Linked DNA regions of Xenopus tropicalis. The protein of the gene in region 1 purifies or fractionates together with the protein of each later gene. This does not show direct contact. Links are inferred from orthologs where the notes say so. Each region holds a gene or a part of one and is shown in the gene's direction. Other genes may lie near its edges.

What was found. Proteins that work in one complex are often made in the same cells at the same time.
Region 2: the proteins of alk (region 1) and shc1 purify together in Homo sapiens (affinity purification with mass spectrometry; 3 studies listed by BioGRID and IntAct, with this or other methods). This does not show direct contact. The link is inferred for Xenopus tropicalis from reciprocal best matches to the Homo sapiens genes ALK and SHC1.
Region 3: the proteins of alk (region 1) and grb2 purify together in Homo sapiens (affinity purification with western blotting; 3 studies listed by BioGRID and IntAct, with this or other methods). This does not show direct contact. The link is inferred for Xenopus tropicalis from reciprocal best matches to the Homo sapiens genes ALK and GRB2.

Annotation. Positions count from the first base shown.
Region 1 is NC_030681.2:6,145,574-6,151,840, reverse strand, and holds part of alk (ALK tyrosine kinase receptor), read left to right. Parts: intron 1-1,535; coding exon 1,536-1,667; intron 1,668-1,977; coding exon 1,978-2,122; intron 2,123-3,030; coding exon 3,031-3,213; intron 3,214-3,584; coding exon 3,585-3,683; intron 3,684-3,817; coding exon 3,818-3,970; intron 3,971-4,776; coding exon 4,777-4,890; intron 4,891-5,563; coding exon 5,564-5,750; intron 5,751-6,267. UniProt on the Homo sapiens protein: Neuronal receptor tyrosine kinase that is essentially and transiently expressed in specific regions of the central and peripheral nervous systems and plays an important role in the genesis and differentiation of the nervous system.
Region 2 is NC_030684.2:145,087,372-145,092,254, forward strand, and holds part of shc1 (SHC-transforming protein 1), read left to right. Parts: intron 1-1,546; coding exon 1,547-1,617; intron 1,618-2,099; coding exon 2,100-2,163; intron 2,164-2,996; coding exon 2,997-3,116; intron 3,117-3,280; coding exon 3,281-3,334; intron 3,335-3,612; coding exon 3,613-3,664; intron 3,665-3,761; coding exon 3,762-3,888; intron 3,889-3,979; coding exon 3,980-4,160; intron 4,161-4,239; coding exon 4,240-4,300; intron 4,301-4,516; coding exon 4,517-4,663; intron 4,664-4,883. UniProt on the Homo sapiens protein: Signaling adapter that couples activated growth factor receptors to signaling pathways. Participates in a signaling cascade initiated by activated KIT and KITLG/SCF.
Region 3 is NC_030686.2:44,448,878-44,453,956, reverse strand, and holds the end of grb2 (growth factor receptor-bound protein 2), read left to right. Parts: intron 1-972; coding exon 973-1,095; intron 1,096-1,601; coding exon 1,602-1,806; intron 1,807-2,154; coding exon 2,155-2,340; 3' UTR 2,341-3,196; downstream 3,197-5,079. UniProt on the Homo sapiens protein: Non-enzymatic adapter protein that plays a pivotal role in precisely regulated signaling cascades from cell surface receptors to cellular responses, including signaling transduction and gene expression.

The DNA of each region.
Region 1 (6,267 bases):
TCATCAGAATCCTATTAATTTGCCCAAATCTTATTTCCGGTGGGCCCTGGATTTCAGGTTTTGTGGTGGGTTCTAGAAGGCCCAGCCCAACACTTTAGTCACTCAGTATCAGTGTTGCATGTAATATGTATAATATGGGATATGTCTGGAAAACAGGGGCTTCCCATAGTCACGTGACCACTGTAGGCCGGCCCCTGCTTAGTTCAGCTCCATAGTAAGCGGTGGATCAAAGCCAGACGTTCATGGCTTGTTACTCAGTATCGTTTATTTTTGTGGTTTATTTTGTTCATCAGAAGCTCATTAACTTGCAGAACGAAGTTCAAGTGCAAATTAATTGGCTGATGAAGTCATTAAGCTTCGTGCAATTATGCAGGCATGTACCTACTTAATTGGATTATAATCAGCAATTGAGCAATATACGGCCTGTATGAAGGTCATTCTCATAATGTCATTGTGATTTGTGCAGTTCAGCCCCCACCCCCCCGGGTCTGACTTTCTGCTGTCCCCTCATTCATTCCTATGGGAGAGGCAAGTAACTGCAAGAGAAAAGCCTTCCCATGCCAAGTGACTACAATTCCCAGCATGCCCTGGAAGCTTCACTCTCCATCTTGCCCTACTGTCTCCATCTTGCCCTACTGTCTCCCTCTTGCCCTACTGTCTCCATCTTGCCCTACTGTCTCCCTCTTGCCCTACTGTCTCCCTCTTGTCCTACTGTCTCCATCTTGCCCTACTGTCTCCATCTTGCCCTACTGTCTCCATCTTGTCCTACTGTCTCCATCTTGCCCTACTGTCTCCATCTTGCCCTACTGTCCCCATCTTGTCTTACTGTCTCCATCTTGTCCTACTGTCTCCATCTTGCCGTACTGTCTCCATCTTGCCCTACTGTCCCCATCTTGTCCTACTGTCTCCATCTTGTCCTACTGTCTCCATCTTGTCCTACTGTCTCCATCTTGCCGTACTGTCTCCATCTTGCCCTACTGTCCCCATCTTGTCCTACTGTCTCCATCTTGCCCTACTGTCTCCATCTTGTCCTACTGTCTCCATCTTGCCCTACTGTCTCCATTTTGCACTACTTTCTTCATCTTCTTCTACTGTCACCATCATGCCTTACAGTTGCCATCTTGCCAAACTCTGTCTGTCTTGTCCTACTAACTCCATCTTGGTTTTGTTTCCCACTGCTGCCATCTTGCCCTACTATTCCCATCATGTTGTTCCATTTCACCCCACTCTTCCCAGTTACAAGTGCTGGTTGGGGGGCCTCCCTGTACCTTTGCGTAAGGCACCTCTCCCATGGGCAGATCCATCCCATCACATGGTTTAGAACTTGAAGTTCCTGGGCCCAATCTGATGGCCAAGCCCCAAGCCCACATTGGCCGTTTTGCACAGAGACCTTGAAACAGTTGATCAGACAAGACCCCTGGCCCGGCAGTTGTTGGCTCCATCTGTTGCTCCATCCCTGGGTGTATTGGTCGCTATGGGGGAAACCATCCAACCCCTCTGAGGAACCCACTGAGGAACTGTCTCTGTCTCCATAGGCCAATTCTGTGCTGCAGATGGTTTGTATTGGGGAAAACACTGAGATTGAGGATGAATTGCGGATTAACGGCAGTGTGAGCGAGTGGGCGGGAGGAGGAGGCGGCGGAGGCGGAGCAACATACGTCTTCAAGGTAAAATAATATTGTTTTTGCACAAAGCAACTTCAATAAGCTCTTATGAGAGAAAGAACCGAGGGCAAAGGAGAGTAAAGGCCACTTTCCTGCCAGCCAAGCCTCTGTATCCCACAATGCCTTGCACCCTGTAAATAAAGGTACTGATTGGAGGAGAGCTGAATTGCTAAATAGCAATAATGTCAATGAATGTACATTGGGGAGTTACTTAAACGTGTATTTTGGTGAGGATTCTGGGAGTTGTAGTTCTGCAAGCTGTATTCATTCTAACTGATTTCTTGTTCCCCTGTTATTATATCCCCCATAACAGATGGAGAGTGGAAAGCCTGTCCCATTGCTGATAGCGGCAGGGGGGGGCGGAAGGGCGTATCGCTCCAAGGCCAGTGTAATCCCCCCCGAGAGACTGGAGAGCAATTACACCATCCCGGGAATGAATGGCAAATCAGGGGCAGCAGGTACAGAAACCCTGGCCATCTCTGGTTCCACTCAAACCCCACCCACACCTCACCATAGCCCCGCCCACACCTCACCAGAGCCCCGCCCACACCTCACCAGAGCCCCGCCCACACCTCACCAGAACCCCACCCACACCTCGCCAGAACCCCGCCCATACCTTGCCAGAGCCACACCCATACCTCACCAGACCCCCGCCCATACTTCACCAGAACCCCGCCCATACCTCAACAGAGCCCCGTCCATACCTCACCAGAGCCCCACCCATACCTCACCAGAGCCCCACCCATACCTCACCAGAGCCCCGCCCATACCTCGCCAGAACCCCGCCCATACCTCACCAGACCCCCGCCCGTACTTCACCAGACCCCCGCCCATACCTCAACAGAGCCCCGCCCATACCTCAACAGAGCCCCGCCCATACCTCACCAGAACCCCACCCATACCTCACCAGAACCCCGCCCATACCTCGCCAGAGCCACACCCATACCTCACCAGACCCCCGCCCATACTTCACCAGAACCCCGCCCATACCTCAACAGAGCCCCGCCCATACCTCACCAGAGCCCCACCCATACCTCACCAGAGCCCCGCCCATACCTCACCAGAACCCCGCCCATACCTCACCAGACCCCCGCCCGTACTTCACCAGACCCCCGCCCATACCTCAACAGAGCCCCGCCCATACCTCAACAGAGCCCCGCCCATACCTCACCAGAACCCCACCCATACCTCACCAGAACCCCGCCCATACCTCACCAGAACCCCGCCCATACCTCACCAGACCCCGCCCACACCTCACCAGACCCCGCCCACACCTCACCAGAGCCCCGCCAATACCTCACCGAACCACTGACTGTTTTTAAAAGTAAATTGTTGATTCACCAGTGAAATCCTTTATAATTTATAGGTGGCGGTGGCGGATGGAATGATCACACTGCGTTACCGTGGGCGGGCAAGTCCCTAATGGAAGGCGCCATTGGTGGAGAATCCTGCCCCCAGGCCGTTAAGAAGTGGGGCTGGGAGACTAGAGGTGGATTCGGAGGGGGCGGAGGGGGATGTTCCTCAGGAGGCGGAGGAGGGGGATATATTGGTGAGTATCTGCCATGTTATTTGCTGTAGATACACCCTGGGGGGGGGATAGATGGTATTGGGGGTCTCCTCTATTGGGCTGAATTTGTTTAAAGCTTAAATCCTATTGCAGAAAAGCTTGAGGTCATTTGCATGAGTTCCATTAAGGACATCAACACAATGGAACTACCAGTTTGTGCCCAAGCCCCTCCCCTTTGCCTGACCATGGGAAAGAGAACAACCCAAGAACAACACTTACCCGAGGGGTAAGAAATAAAAAAAGGACCCTGAAAACTTATGGCCGCAGACTCATCCCTAGGGGAGCCCTTTATTAGTTGCACCAGCGCACAAATAACGGCTAATTCTGCCCTTCTGCCCCCCCACTGTCCGCAGGAGGAAACGCTGCTGAGGGTAACAGTGCAGAAATGGATGGGCTGGAAGGCGTGTCCTTTATCAGCCCCCGGGGGGTTGTCTACACCCCTCCCTTAAAAGGTAACTGTATATTATCTGTACATTCCTGTATGAATGTCGCTACCAATAATAAAAAAAAGACCAATTGCAAAGTATCTCACCCTTATTGGCTGCTGGTGTTTCCATTTCCCATCTCGCTTTCTGGCTTTTTGCAGTGATAGAGGGACACGGGGAGGTGGAGATCAAACTGCACCTGAACTGCAGTCACTGCGAGATGGACGAGTGTCTCCTGGATCCCGAGAGCAAGAGAATCGTCTGTCTATGTGAGCGCGGCACTGTCCTGGCTGAGGATGGGGTCTCCTGTATTGGTGAGTCGGTTACAGCTCTATTGAACATATGTACAGAGCCTGCACACTTTACTGCTGCGCTGCAAGTTGGAGTGATATCCCCCCCCCCTCACCCCCAGCAGCCGATCAGCGGAACAAGTAAGGAATCCAAGTCCGGCTTGGGACTCCTCCAGTTACATGGGAGTAGGAGAAACAATAGGTTAGCTGAAAGCAGTTCTAATGTGTAGCGCTGGCTGAAAGCTCAGACTCAGGCACACTTTACTGCTGCGCTGCAAGTTGGAGTGATATCCCCCCCCCCCTCACCCCCAGCAGCCGATCAGCAGAACAATGGGAAGGGAGCAAGATAGCAGCTCCCAGTAGGTATCAGAATAGCACTCAATAGTAAGAAATCCAAGTCCGGCTTGGGACTCCTCCAGTTACATGGGAGTAGGAGAAACAATAGGTTAGCTGAAAGCAGTTCTAATGTGTAGCGCTGGCTGAAAGCTCAGACTCAGGCACACTTTACTGCTGCGCTGCAAGTTGGAGTGATATCTCCCTCCTCACCCCCAGCAGCCGATCAGCAGAACAATGGGAAGGGAGCAAGATAGCAGCTCCCAGTAGGTATCAGAATAGCACTCAATAGTAAGAAATCCAAGTCCGGCTTGGGACTCCTCCAGTTACATACATAACGTAATGATGCCGGCACCATGGTCCCTTACAGCCTCCCCTCCTATGCAGTCAGCCAATGCTAAACCCTATTACCTTGCAGAGCAATTGAAGGATTAAATAGTGAATATTGCAGTCTGGTTGCTATGGTTATCTCATGGTGATGTCACTATGGTTTGCAGATGAGGCGTTGGCGCCGGCCCAGGAGACGCATCTGCCACTGTCGCTGGTTTTGTCCATTGTGACGTCGGCCCTGGTGGCGGCTCTCATATTGGCTTTCTCTGGGATAATGATAGGTGAGTGACCCGGCTCTGGCCCACAGAGCTGACAGTCTTTACATTAATATCACTTCTAATTCAATCCAATCAATGCAGAGGCGCGACTGAATTCCCTGCTCCTCAAGGGATGAATTACTCCTTTAGCGCAGGATTCCAACTCGCTAATCAAAGTTTAGTTGTTATTGATCAGCTAAGAATTGTGGGAAAGAGTTATTGAAAAGACTTCTATCCAGAAGGCAGAGCAACCTCGGCCCAGACGCTCTGCATGTTCAGCTGGTTGTGCCACGGGGCAGAATGAACCATCAAAGCCTTTAACATCTGGTCTACAAACTCATCCCCCCCCCCGGGGACCCACGGTGCATTGATCCATCATTAATTACACCGCGCGGCTCCCATTCCCGGTGCCAGCCGTCGGGCAGCAGAGCGCCTCTCGCTATAGCAGAACATATGTTGCCCGGCTTGTCCACTTCATTGCAATTAACACTTTAGGAGAATTCGTTGGGTTATTCCAGTTCACGTTTCATCTGAGACCAATGGCATAGCAGTAACAGAACAGCAACTATTGATCAACTACAGTCAAACAGGCTGATTAGTCAGGCTGGGGGGGTCCATAAACATCTCCTTGAGGGCCACAGTCTCCCACGTTAGGCCGTTTGCACCGAATAAAGAGTATATTGTGCTCTGTTCCCAGTGTACCGAAAGAAGCACCAGGAGCTACAGGCCATACAGATGGAGCTGCAGAGCCCGGACTATAAGCTCAGCAAGGTCCGAACCTCCACCATCATGACGGACTATAACCCCAACTATTGTTTTGCCGGGAAGGTCACCTCTATCGGCGACCTCAAGGAAGTACCGCGCAAAAATATCTCCCTTATTAGGTGAGTGCAACCTCCAGTCTGTAGTTTGCCCTGGAATTCACTTCAGTCTGTGCTATTGTAGGACAATTAGGTCCTTAATTATTATTAATGATTTCTTCTAGCCAGATTAGAAACCACAAACAAAATGAAGACTAATGGCAAACTGTCTCCAAGATAGTTAAAGTTGATTTAAAGGTGAAGAGTGTCTTTAAAAGGACAAAATCATCAGCTCACTTCATCTTCTCATCCAAAAGGTCTTTTCATTAGCTCACCCAAGTTTCCTTCATAAGCTTATCCAAAGGTCCCTTCATCATCTCACCCAAGAGTTCCTTATCAACTCATCAAATGGTCCCTTCATCATCTCGCCCATGGGTTCCTTATCAACTCACCCAAGGGTTCCTTATCAACTCATCCAATGATCCCTTTATCATCTCACCCAAGGGTTCTTTATCAACTCATCAAATGATCCCTTCATCATCTCACCCAAGGGTTCCTTCATCTTCTCATCCAAAGTTCCCTTCATCAACTCATCCAAGGG
Region 2 (4,883 bases), on another chromosome or scaffold:
CCCTACCCTCTAGTCCCAACCTCTACCCACTACTCCTACCTGCTGTCTGTGCTCCTACCCTCTAGTCCCAACCTCTACCCTCTACTCCCAACCTCTACCCTCTACTCCTACCTGCTGTCTGTGCTCCTACCCTCTAGTCCCAACCTCTACCCTCTACTCCTACCTGCTGTCTGTGCTCCTACCCTCTAGTCCCAACCTCTACCCTCTACTCCTACCTGCTGTCTGTGCCCCTACCCTCTAGTCCCAACCTCTACCCTCTACTCCTACCTGCTGTCTGTGCCCCTACCCTCTAGTCCCAACCTCTACCCTCTACTCCTACCTGCTGTCTGTGCCCCTACCCTCTAGTCCCAACATCTACCCTCTACTCCTACCTGCTGTCTGTGCTCCTACCCTCTAGTCCCAACCTCTACCCTCTACTCCTACCTACTGTCTGTGCCCCTACCCTCTAGTCCCAACCTCTACCCACTACTCCTACCTGCTGTCTGTGCTCCTACCCTCTAGTCCCAACCTCTACCCTCTACTCCTACCTACTGTCTGTGCCCCTACCCTCTAGTCCCAACCTCTACCCACTACTCCTACCTGCTGTCTATGCTCCTACCCTCTAGTCCCAACCTCTACCCTCTACTCCCAACCTCTACCCTCTACTCCTACCTGCTGTCTGTGCTCCGACCCTCTAGTCCCAACCTCTACCCACTACTCCTACCTGCTGTCTATGCTCCTACCCTCTAGTCCCAACCTCTACCCTCTACTCCTACCTGCTGTCTGTGCTCCGACCCTCTAGTCCCAACCTCTACCCACTACTCCTACCTGCTGTCTATGCTCCTACCCTACCGCATACACACGTACTCACACTGCTGTATAGCTGTACCCATATGCCCCCATACACACGTACTCACACTGCTGTATAGCTGTACCCATATGCCCCCATACACACGTCCTCACACTGCTGTATAGCTGTACCCATATGCCCCCATACACACGTACTCACACTGCTGTATAGCTGTACCCATATGCCCCCATACACACGTACTCACACTGCTGTATAGCTGTACCCATATGCCCCCATACACACGTACTCACACTGCTGTATAGCTGTACCCATATGCCCCCATACACACGTCCTCACACTGCTGTATAGCTGTACCCATATGCCCCCATACACACGTACTCACACTGCTGTATAGCTGTACCCATATGCCCACATGTACATGCCACACACAGTAGTACTGCCATAAAATGCTTGTTCTTTTTGACTCTAACTTACTCATGTGAGTAAATCCATAGCTGCCCCTGCTGTTCCCCAACACACGCACACATATATGTTAGTACCCGTGGTTCCTCCTGCCGTGGTGACATCACTTCCTGTATAAATCACTCTGTGTATCCCCTGCTTCCTGGGCTGCTTCCCTCCTTTCCTTCCTTGCTATCCTGCTGCCCAACATATCCTGCTGCCCCTGTGTGGCCTTATAGGGTCACTTCTACCTGCCCCAGTGCCTACATAGAACCCCGGGAGTGACTAATGCCATGTTGTGCTCTTGCCTTGCAGTACATGGGCTGTGTGGAAGTTCTGCAGTCAATGAGAGCCTTGGACTTCAACACCCGGACTCAAGTCACAAGGTAGGACCCCATCCTCTCCCACCTCCCAAGGGTACATTGTATTCTATAGCTGAGCAGCCAAGTGATTCCATTGATACAATTGTAGGTACGTAATGGCCAGTAGACACGAGCGTAGCCAGCTGGTACCTACATATCCTATTAATAACATTGTGACATGTATGGCATTAGGTGCCACATTGGCACAACCTGTGAGTGGGTATAACAGCATGGGGTGTCGGTAATACCCACAGCAGTGCAGGAATATAGTTCAAAGTCAGTGGGGGATGTATGGCCAATACTGCTGCAGGATCAGCTGCTCCTTCCCCCAGTGATTGGCCCACAGGCTCTCATTCTGTAATGCCCTGCACCAGTGGGCCTGTGTGTGCCCATCCGAATGATTCCTGGCATTTGGGAGAAGTGAGAGGCAATTTGGCGCTGGCTAATGGGAGTCCTGCCCCAGGGCCCCTGCTATATGTACCCTAATGGTGCCTTTCTCTGCGCAGGGAAGCCATAAGCCTGGTGTGCGATGCTGTTCCAGGAGCAAAGGGGGCAATGCGACGGCGAAAGGTAACTATGAACCGAACACTCTGCAGATAATGTACTACAACTCCCAGCATCCCTCCTGTACCCAAATAGCACCCGGCCTCCCAACCCTTCATTTATCAGGCACCGACTGACATATATACCTAATGAGGGCCTCTCCCCTGTGGGGCAGGAAGAGTTAAAGAGAGAGGGAGGCATTAGGTTAATGAAAGGAAAGCAGGCAGATCAATATGCCCTGATTGTGTCTGGACTCCATCTGCTAATGGATGGGTGTGGCCTGTGGGACAGAGCGGTCAGCTCTCCCTGCAGTTCCTGCACTGCCATACCAATGGGGGGTTCCCTTGTAGCCAATGACTGGATCACAGCCCCCCCCGCTGCTTGGGGGTAGCAGCCCTATTAAGAGCACCGCCATCCCCCTTATGTTCAGATTGGGGTTGCCCCTAGCCCATGCATGCAGCACTGCTAGAGCCATGCAGCGTGTGTGGGTGCAGCCATACTGCTAGCTCATCAGCCATGCAGCGTGTGTGGGTGCAGCCATACTGCTAGCTCATCAGCCATGCAGCATCCATATTCTGTAGCAGGATGGTGTGTGCAACCCTACATAGAATGAATACTGTGTGGGCATAGTTACAATGTGCCACAGGTGCCAATGTGCAGCCGCTAGCTGTTTGGGTATAACCATCTTGCACTGGTTTTTACCACTTTGGACTTTTGATGTTTTCCTACTTGGCCTCCCTCTCTCCCTGGCTTCTCTCCTGCTGCTTCCTACCTACCTACCTACCTACCTGGCCTGCTGCACTGCCCATTGTATTGGTCAGTCCTACCTAACTCTTTCTCTCCATGTCCCCCCCCCAAAGACTTGTGGGCGGTCCTTAAACTCCATCCTAGGGAAGAGCAACCTGAAGTTCGCCGGCATGCCAATCACTCTGACCGTCTCCACCAGCAGCCTCAACCTCATGGCCTCCGACTGCAAACAGGTGAGACACCTGGGCCCCAGCCCTCATGTTGTACAGGTCTTGTCATGTGACCTCCTACTAGCCCTGCTGAGGTTGGCCACGCTGGCTACCATTCTAGGCCTCTGGGTTCCAGCAGAGGGGGAATCTGATAATAATTGCAGCCTTTGTCTCTTCCTCCATTACAGATCATCGCCAACCACCACATGCAGTCAATATCATTTGCTTCTGGGGGAGATCCCGTAAGTGCTGGGGCTGTGTGCCTGGGTTTGTATATGGGAGGGAGGGGGAGGGTGTTTGTATATGGGAGGGGGATGAGTTTTAGCTATGATACGGCGAACCTTTGGATATCAATGGTAGGTATAATGGAACAATCTTTGTTTCATACCGTTATATAGGAGCACGTATGGCCAGCTTAATGGTGTATGAAATAGGCGGAGCTAATGTATGGATAGGAGTTGGGGGGCGGGGCTCATACAGGCTTCTCTTGTCCTGCAATCCGTTCTCTTGTTCCCCTTAGGATACAGCTGAGTATGTCGCTTATGTGGCCAAAGATCCAGTCAATCAGAGAGGTGGGTACAAGAGATATATATATATATATATATATATATATATATAGCCATTGCTGCTTGCAGTAGGAGGAGTCACCACATCTGTGCTCTCTCACAGCCTGCCATATCCTGGAGTGCCCAGAAGGCCTTGCTCAGGACGTGATCAGCACAATAGGACAGGCCTTTGAACTACGCTTCAAACAATACCTCAAAAATCCCCCCAAACTGGTCACCCCCCATGACAGGTAAGTGCCTCTCATTATTAAATAAAGGGTAAGTAAGAGGAATAGTCAGGGAATTTCACTTTTGTCTCTTCCCCTTGCGTGCTCCCGGCAGAATGGCTGGTTTTGATGGGTCGGCGTGGGATGAGGAAGAGGAGGAGCTCCCAGACCATGCCTATTACAATGATTTCCCAGGGAAAGAGCCCCCTATTGGGGGAGTAGTAGATATGCGGCTGCGAGATGGGGTAGCACCGGCAGTTCCTAGGCAAAGCCCAAATCACATGGGTGCCACCCTGGTAAGTTCATGGGCAGAGAGAGGAAGAGAGGGTGCTGTAGGAAACATGATCCGGGCTGAGCTTTTCCTTTCTCCCACAGCCCGTGGGACAGGTCTCTGGTGCCGAACAGGATTCCAGGAAGCCACAGCCGACAGTGCAAGGTAGGAGCCACTAGTGGCCAGTGTACCATCTGCCTGTGTGCCTAATGTGCAGCCCCACATTGCATGTCCTACTGGAGATGGCTGTATAGCTCCTCCCCCTGTTAGTTACTGTACTTGGACCATATACCTCCCTTTGGTTCCCCTAAATGTCCCCAAGCTACAGACCCTTCATGGGGTGGGGGTAGTTCATTACTCACACTGTCTTGTCCCCCGTAGGCAGGGAGAGATTTCCAGTCCCCTGCAGTCGGCCTCCGAATCGGCCCGATCTCTTCGATGACCCCTCCTACGTCAATGTCCAGAACCTGGAGAAGTCTCGGCAGCCTCTGCGGGCAGCAAACGGCCAGAGGGACATCTTCGACATGAGTGCGTTCCATTCGTAACCTGCATTTGTTACCCCCCCCCCCAACCTTGTGTTAATGGTACCAACTTGTCTGTGGGTCAGTCTCTCCTAAACCCAATGGGCACTAATGGTACCGACATGTCTGCGGGTCAGTCTCTCCTAGACCCAATGGGCACTAATGGTACCGACATGTCTGCGGGTCAGTCTCTCCTAGACCCAATGGGCACTAATGGTACCGACATG
Region 3 (5,079 bases), on another chromosome or scaffold:
TGCCAGTTAGGGAATAAACACAGGCCGAGAGTCAGTCCCTTGTGGCATCAGCCTTGCTGTCCCTTTGGGCCGCCCATACAGAAATGTCCCTGGAGGAGAGGTGGATTTTTATCACTTATAGAGCTGAAGCTCTCAGAGTTGGAATTTGAACTGCAGACTGTTTGCTGGGGCTGTAATTAGAGTAGAGAGATAATGCAGCCATAACACCATAAATAAGGAATGAATCGTGCGTATTGTAGGCCTATCTGTATCAGACTAAGGGTAATGGCACATTGGGCAATTCCACCTGCCGTATTCACCGACTGCAAACTCCACTTGTGATTTTTTTTTTTTTCTTTAAAGGTTAAATTTCTCCACTTCTCATTTTTACACAGCGTTTTAATGACCATTTATTTCTGAAATGTTGTTCTGCCTTTCCTGTGTCACTGTGTCTTTGGGTGATTCTCCGCTGTGCTATGATTGTGCTACTCCCTGACTTACTCCACTGTGAAAATGTCATAAAATGCAGTTTGCTCCTTTTTTGTCAAAAAGACAAATTCACTTTAAATTGCTTGTGAATATGGTTTAGGAGGTTATGGTTCAAAGTAGAGGAAGAAACATTTGCACACTGTCCCACAAAGGCTCCAAATAAAGTGACCGTCTGTAGAAGATGTTGTGCAACTTCAGCATAGCACAGTTCCTTTTTTAAATTTGTGTCTTTGGGAATACGGAGAATGCATTTACATCTGTTTTACCATCACTTTTAGCCCCCCCAGAACAGACTTTTTCCACTTTTTGTGAATCCCCCCTTGGAATTGCACCATATACCATTTCTCTAACACATAACAGTCCCCTCTTGTGGTTTTTTTGCTTGCATGCTCTCCCTTTTCCTGTTCTTTTAATCTCCAGTTCTCTAATAGTATTTCCCGCTAGCCACAGCTCTCCCTCTGTGTGTTTTCTGCCCTTGAGTTTAATGGCGTTCGATTTCCGTAGGTGGTTTTTCGGTAAAATCCCCCGTGCCAAAGCAGAGGAGATGCTTGGAAAGCAGAGACACGATGGTGCCTTTCTGATCCGAGAGAGTGAAAGTGCTCCTGGAGATTTCTCCTTATCAGTCAAGTGAGTGTTTTTCTTATGGGGATCTGTATTTTTTTTGGCAGTGCGGTCATGAATAGGGCCTGTTCCCCTTTACAATAACTTTTAGTATGACATAGACATTAATATTCTGAGACAATTTGCAATTAATTTTCATTTTTTATGGTTTTTCAGTTTCTCAGCTTTTCGTTCAGCAGCTCTCTGCTTGCTAGGGTCTTGTTTACCTTAGCAACCAGGCAGAGGTTTCCGTGAGAGACTGGAATATGAATAGGAAAGGGACTGAATAGAAGGATAAGGAATAAAAAGTAACAATAATAAAATTGCAAGCTCACGGAGCAATAGATTTTTGGCTGCCGGGGTCAGTGACCCCCATTTGAAAGCTGGAAAGATGTAGAAGAGATAATAAAATAAAACTTAAAAAAATAATGAAGATCAATTGCAAAGTTGTAAGGAATAGGGCCATCTATAACATACTAAAAGTTACCTTAAACTTTAAGGAGCATCTGTAAAAATTCACCCATCTTCTTCAGATTCGGCAATGACGTGCAGCACTTCAAGGTCCTACGGGATGGAGCCGGCAAGTATTTCCTGTGGGTGGTAAAGTTCAACTCGCTGAATGAGCTGGTGGACTACCACAGGTCCACATCCGTGTCTAGGAACCAGCAGATCTTCCTACGAGACATCGAGCAGGTTCCACAGGTACACGGGGGAGACAGAGCCACGAATTTGCTACAGGTATATAGAGGGGAGGGACAGGCAAGAGACTGTGCTTTGGATAGAAGCGCGGTGCATTTATACAGCTTTGTGTGGGATATAATGTATCTCGTTACTAAAGAGGAACAAAATCTCATCTTCTCTGATAACATTGGGCCTTTTCTCACATTTCCCACCTACCTTCCTGCCTGTCTGGTGTGGCTATTTGGGTTCTGTCTGTGTATAACTAGGGTGCTTTGTGGTGCATATATATTTCTGCTTGTAGGAATGTTGTGCTATGTATAATAGGTGCATGCAGAATGAGGGAGGGGTATCCTGTGTTATTAAGGCTAAGCCCCCCTGACATGTCGATCTTTAACCTCACCGCAGCAACCGACCTATGTGCAGGCGCTATTTGACTTTGACCCACAAGAAGATGGTGAACTTGGATTCCGACGAGGAGACTTCATCCAAGTTGTAGACAACTCCGACCCCAACTGGTGGAAGGGGACATGCCTCGGCCAAACTGGCATGTTCCCACGCAACTACGTGACACCCGTTAACCGTAACATGTAACCAGAGTCGGCAAGGAACCAGTGGCCAAGGAGGAGCACAGGCAGACTGATCTGGGAGGCATTTCGGACTGACTGAGCGACCAAAGGGAGAGAAAATCTTTACCCGGGGGAAGCCAAGACAGACTGACCAAGACAGACAGATGACTGTCTAAATGCAGCCCCGCACACCAGCAAGGACAGTTTGCCCCGGGATTGTCATAAATACTCAATAACAGGATAGAAACATGGATAGATCATTAACTTGGGGGGGGTGGGTGGGGGGACATAGACATATATTGTAAGAATGCTTATGTTTTGACTGCCTCAATCTGGTTGGCTGCTGCCCTTTGACTGACAGATGACAGCATTGCAGAATAGCGCAGGGGGCGAGGGTGGGAATGGTACGCATTCAGTATAGCTCAAACCCAACTCTATAGACCGACAGACTCGACTGTATCGCAGATGTTATTGCTTCCTGGGCCTGGATCTGAGACGGCGATCCCACAAGTCTGGCTGTGCTTTGTGCAGCCGCCACGCACGCTTTCCACAAGGTGAACCCCTTGGCCCAACGTTGAACTTTTTTTTGGGTGGGAGGGCGAAGGGTCCGACCGACTCTCGAGGGGAAGGGGATGGGCGATTGTTGATGTTTGATTAAGAATGCCAAAACTTACCTTTAAATTAAAACAAAAACAAGAGACTTTTTTTTTTAATTAACAAACTCCCTTTACTGCTGCTGTTTCTTCCCCACGTCCCATTCCTGTTTCACCCCCCCCATCCTTATCATGCATGTGTTAGCCAAGCACTAAGTACACACGCCTTGGAAAATAAAATGCGCAGAAGTGAGAGCTGCCATATCCACTCATTTTCTCTCTATGCAAGTCTGGTTCTGCTGGTTTGATTGTAAGGGGCCACAAACTCTATCCCCCCCGTTTTTCTGGAGTAGGGAGCCCCCCCAAATAAACAAGGTTGGTGGGGGGTGGAGCGGTAGCTGGCACATATATGCCTGTCTAGCCTGGTGTCTGTTCAGCTGACCGGCCTCAGGCATCTTTACATGATATTGACATTTTGTATCTCACTCCCACAGTACAGACAGCAGTTGGCCTAATCTACTATTCTATGGTTCTGTCATTTAACACAAGTACTGGCAGGAAAATACGTTTGGGATTGGGGCTGGGAGGGGGCCAGCAGGGATCTGGCAGGGTATTGGTTATAACCTAGGGTTTTGAACGACAAGAGGCAAAGGACACTTTTAATATCACACAATTATTTCAATTTCTGTGAGGTTGCTAGGGGAATTCACCCTAACAACCTGGCAGTGGTTTGACTGACCGGGTAGGAATGGCTTTATGCTTGGCAGTAGCTTCAGAAGTGGTTCAGGGTAGAATGATGCAGAGAATCGGCCTCTGCCCACTATGTCTAGCTATCGGAGCAGTGGTTCCTGGCACGTGGGCCGATGTTCCAGCTTGCCCTGGTTGTTTAAAGGGAATTAAAAAGTATTAAAAATATAAATGATAATATGCCCTTTTAGCAAGCAAGCAAGTATAAAGTATAGCTTATATACAGCACAGAGTATTTATACTTATGTATTGGAGCTGCCATACTACTTGCCTCTCCTGCTGTATTCATAACCACACAGCATTGCTTATAGAACAGAGGAAAGCAATATGGCAGCTCCCATGTTATACCGCAATATTAAGAAAGGAGTGTTTTGTTCACGAAGCAAGCCATGCTCTGAGCATCTAAGTGCAATTAAATGAGAAAGTCATGCAAATAGGGTCTGTTTCCCGTTAAGTATTGAATTTTTAGCCATGTCCTCAAAACCCTACGGTGGTAACGTAAGTCCCTCACTGAGGACAGCTGGACTGCCTCTCTGGCCCCCTCCTCCTTGCCCCTCTGACTCTCGGTCCATCTTATCTGCTTCCTCCAGGTCATCGTGTATGGGGGGGCTTGGAATGCACTGGGACCATATGATTGTCTCTTCGGGGATCTGTGTGTATCCTGCAGCCTTGCAGATTGGTAACTTGTGTGTGTATATGAAACCAATCAAATCAGTGTTTAATTAAAGAACGGCTTCTGTATTTAATCCTCCAATGCAGCATTCAGTAGATAGATGTTAACTGTTAATAATAATAATAATAATAATAATAAATCTGGTGTTTTGTTCACCTGACTGTTGGTAAACAGGTTTCATTTCTTCATGGAAATCCGGCTATCCCACAGCCACCTCCCCTGCATATGGGATCCATACCATCACTGCCTGCCCAGCATTTGCTTTGTTATTGTGGGCTCATAACCAGCAAAAGGTTCTTATTGTAGGCACATATATAAGTGAATTAAAAGCTTATACTTGTCTTTGTATTCAGAATTGCAGATAAATCTATCCACTCTTTGTACAACCAAGCTGTTCCCATGTTTTAGGGCTTTGTCTTCTAAGGGCTGTGGCACACGGGGAGATTAGTCGCCCGCGACAAAACTCCCTGTTCGCAGGCGACTAATCTCCCCGAGTTGCCATCACCTGCCATCCCACCGGCGAAAATGTAAGTCGCCGGTGGGATGGCACACGCGGCGGCACGATTTCCCAAAATCGCCGAAAGCCTCGCGAGGCAACTTCGCCGATTTCCCGAAATCCCACCGGCGACTTACATTTTCACAGGTGATGGCAACTCGGGGAGATTAGTCGTGGGCGACTAATCTCCCCATGTGCCAGAGCCCTTAAAGGTATTGCTTGGCTGTGTGTGTGAGACTTTTATCACTTTCTGCT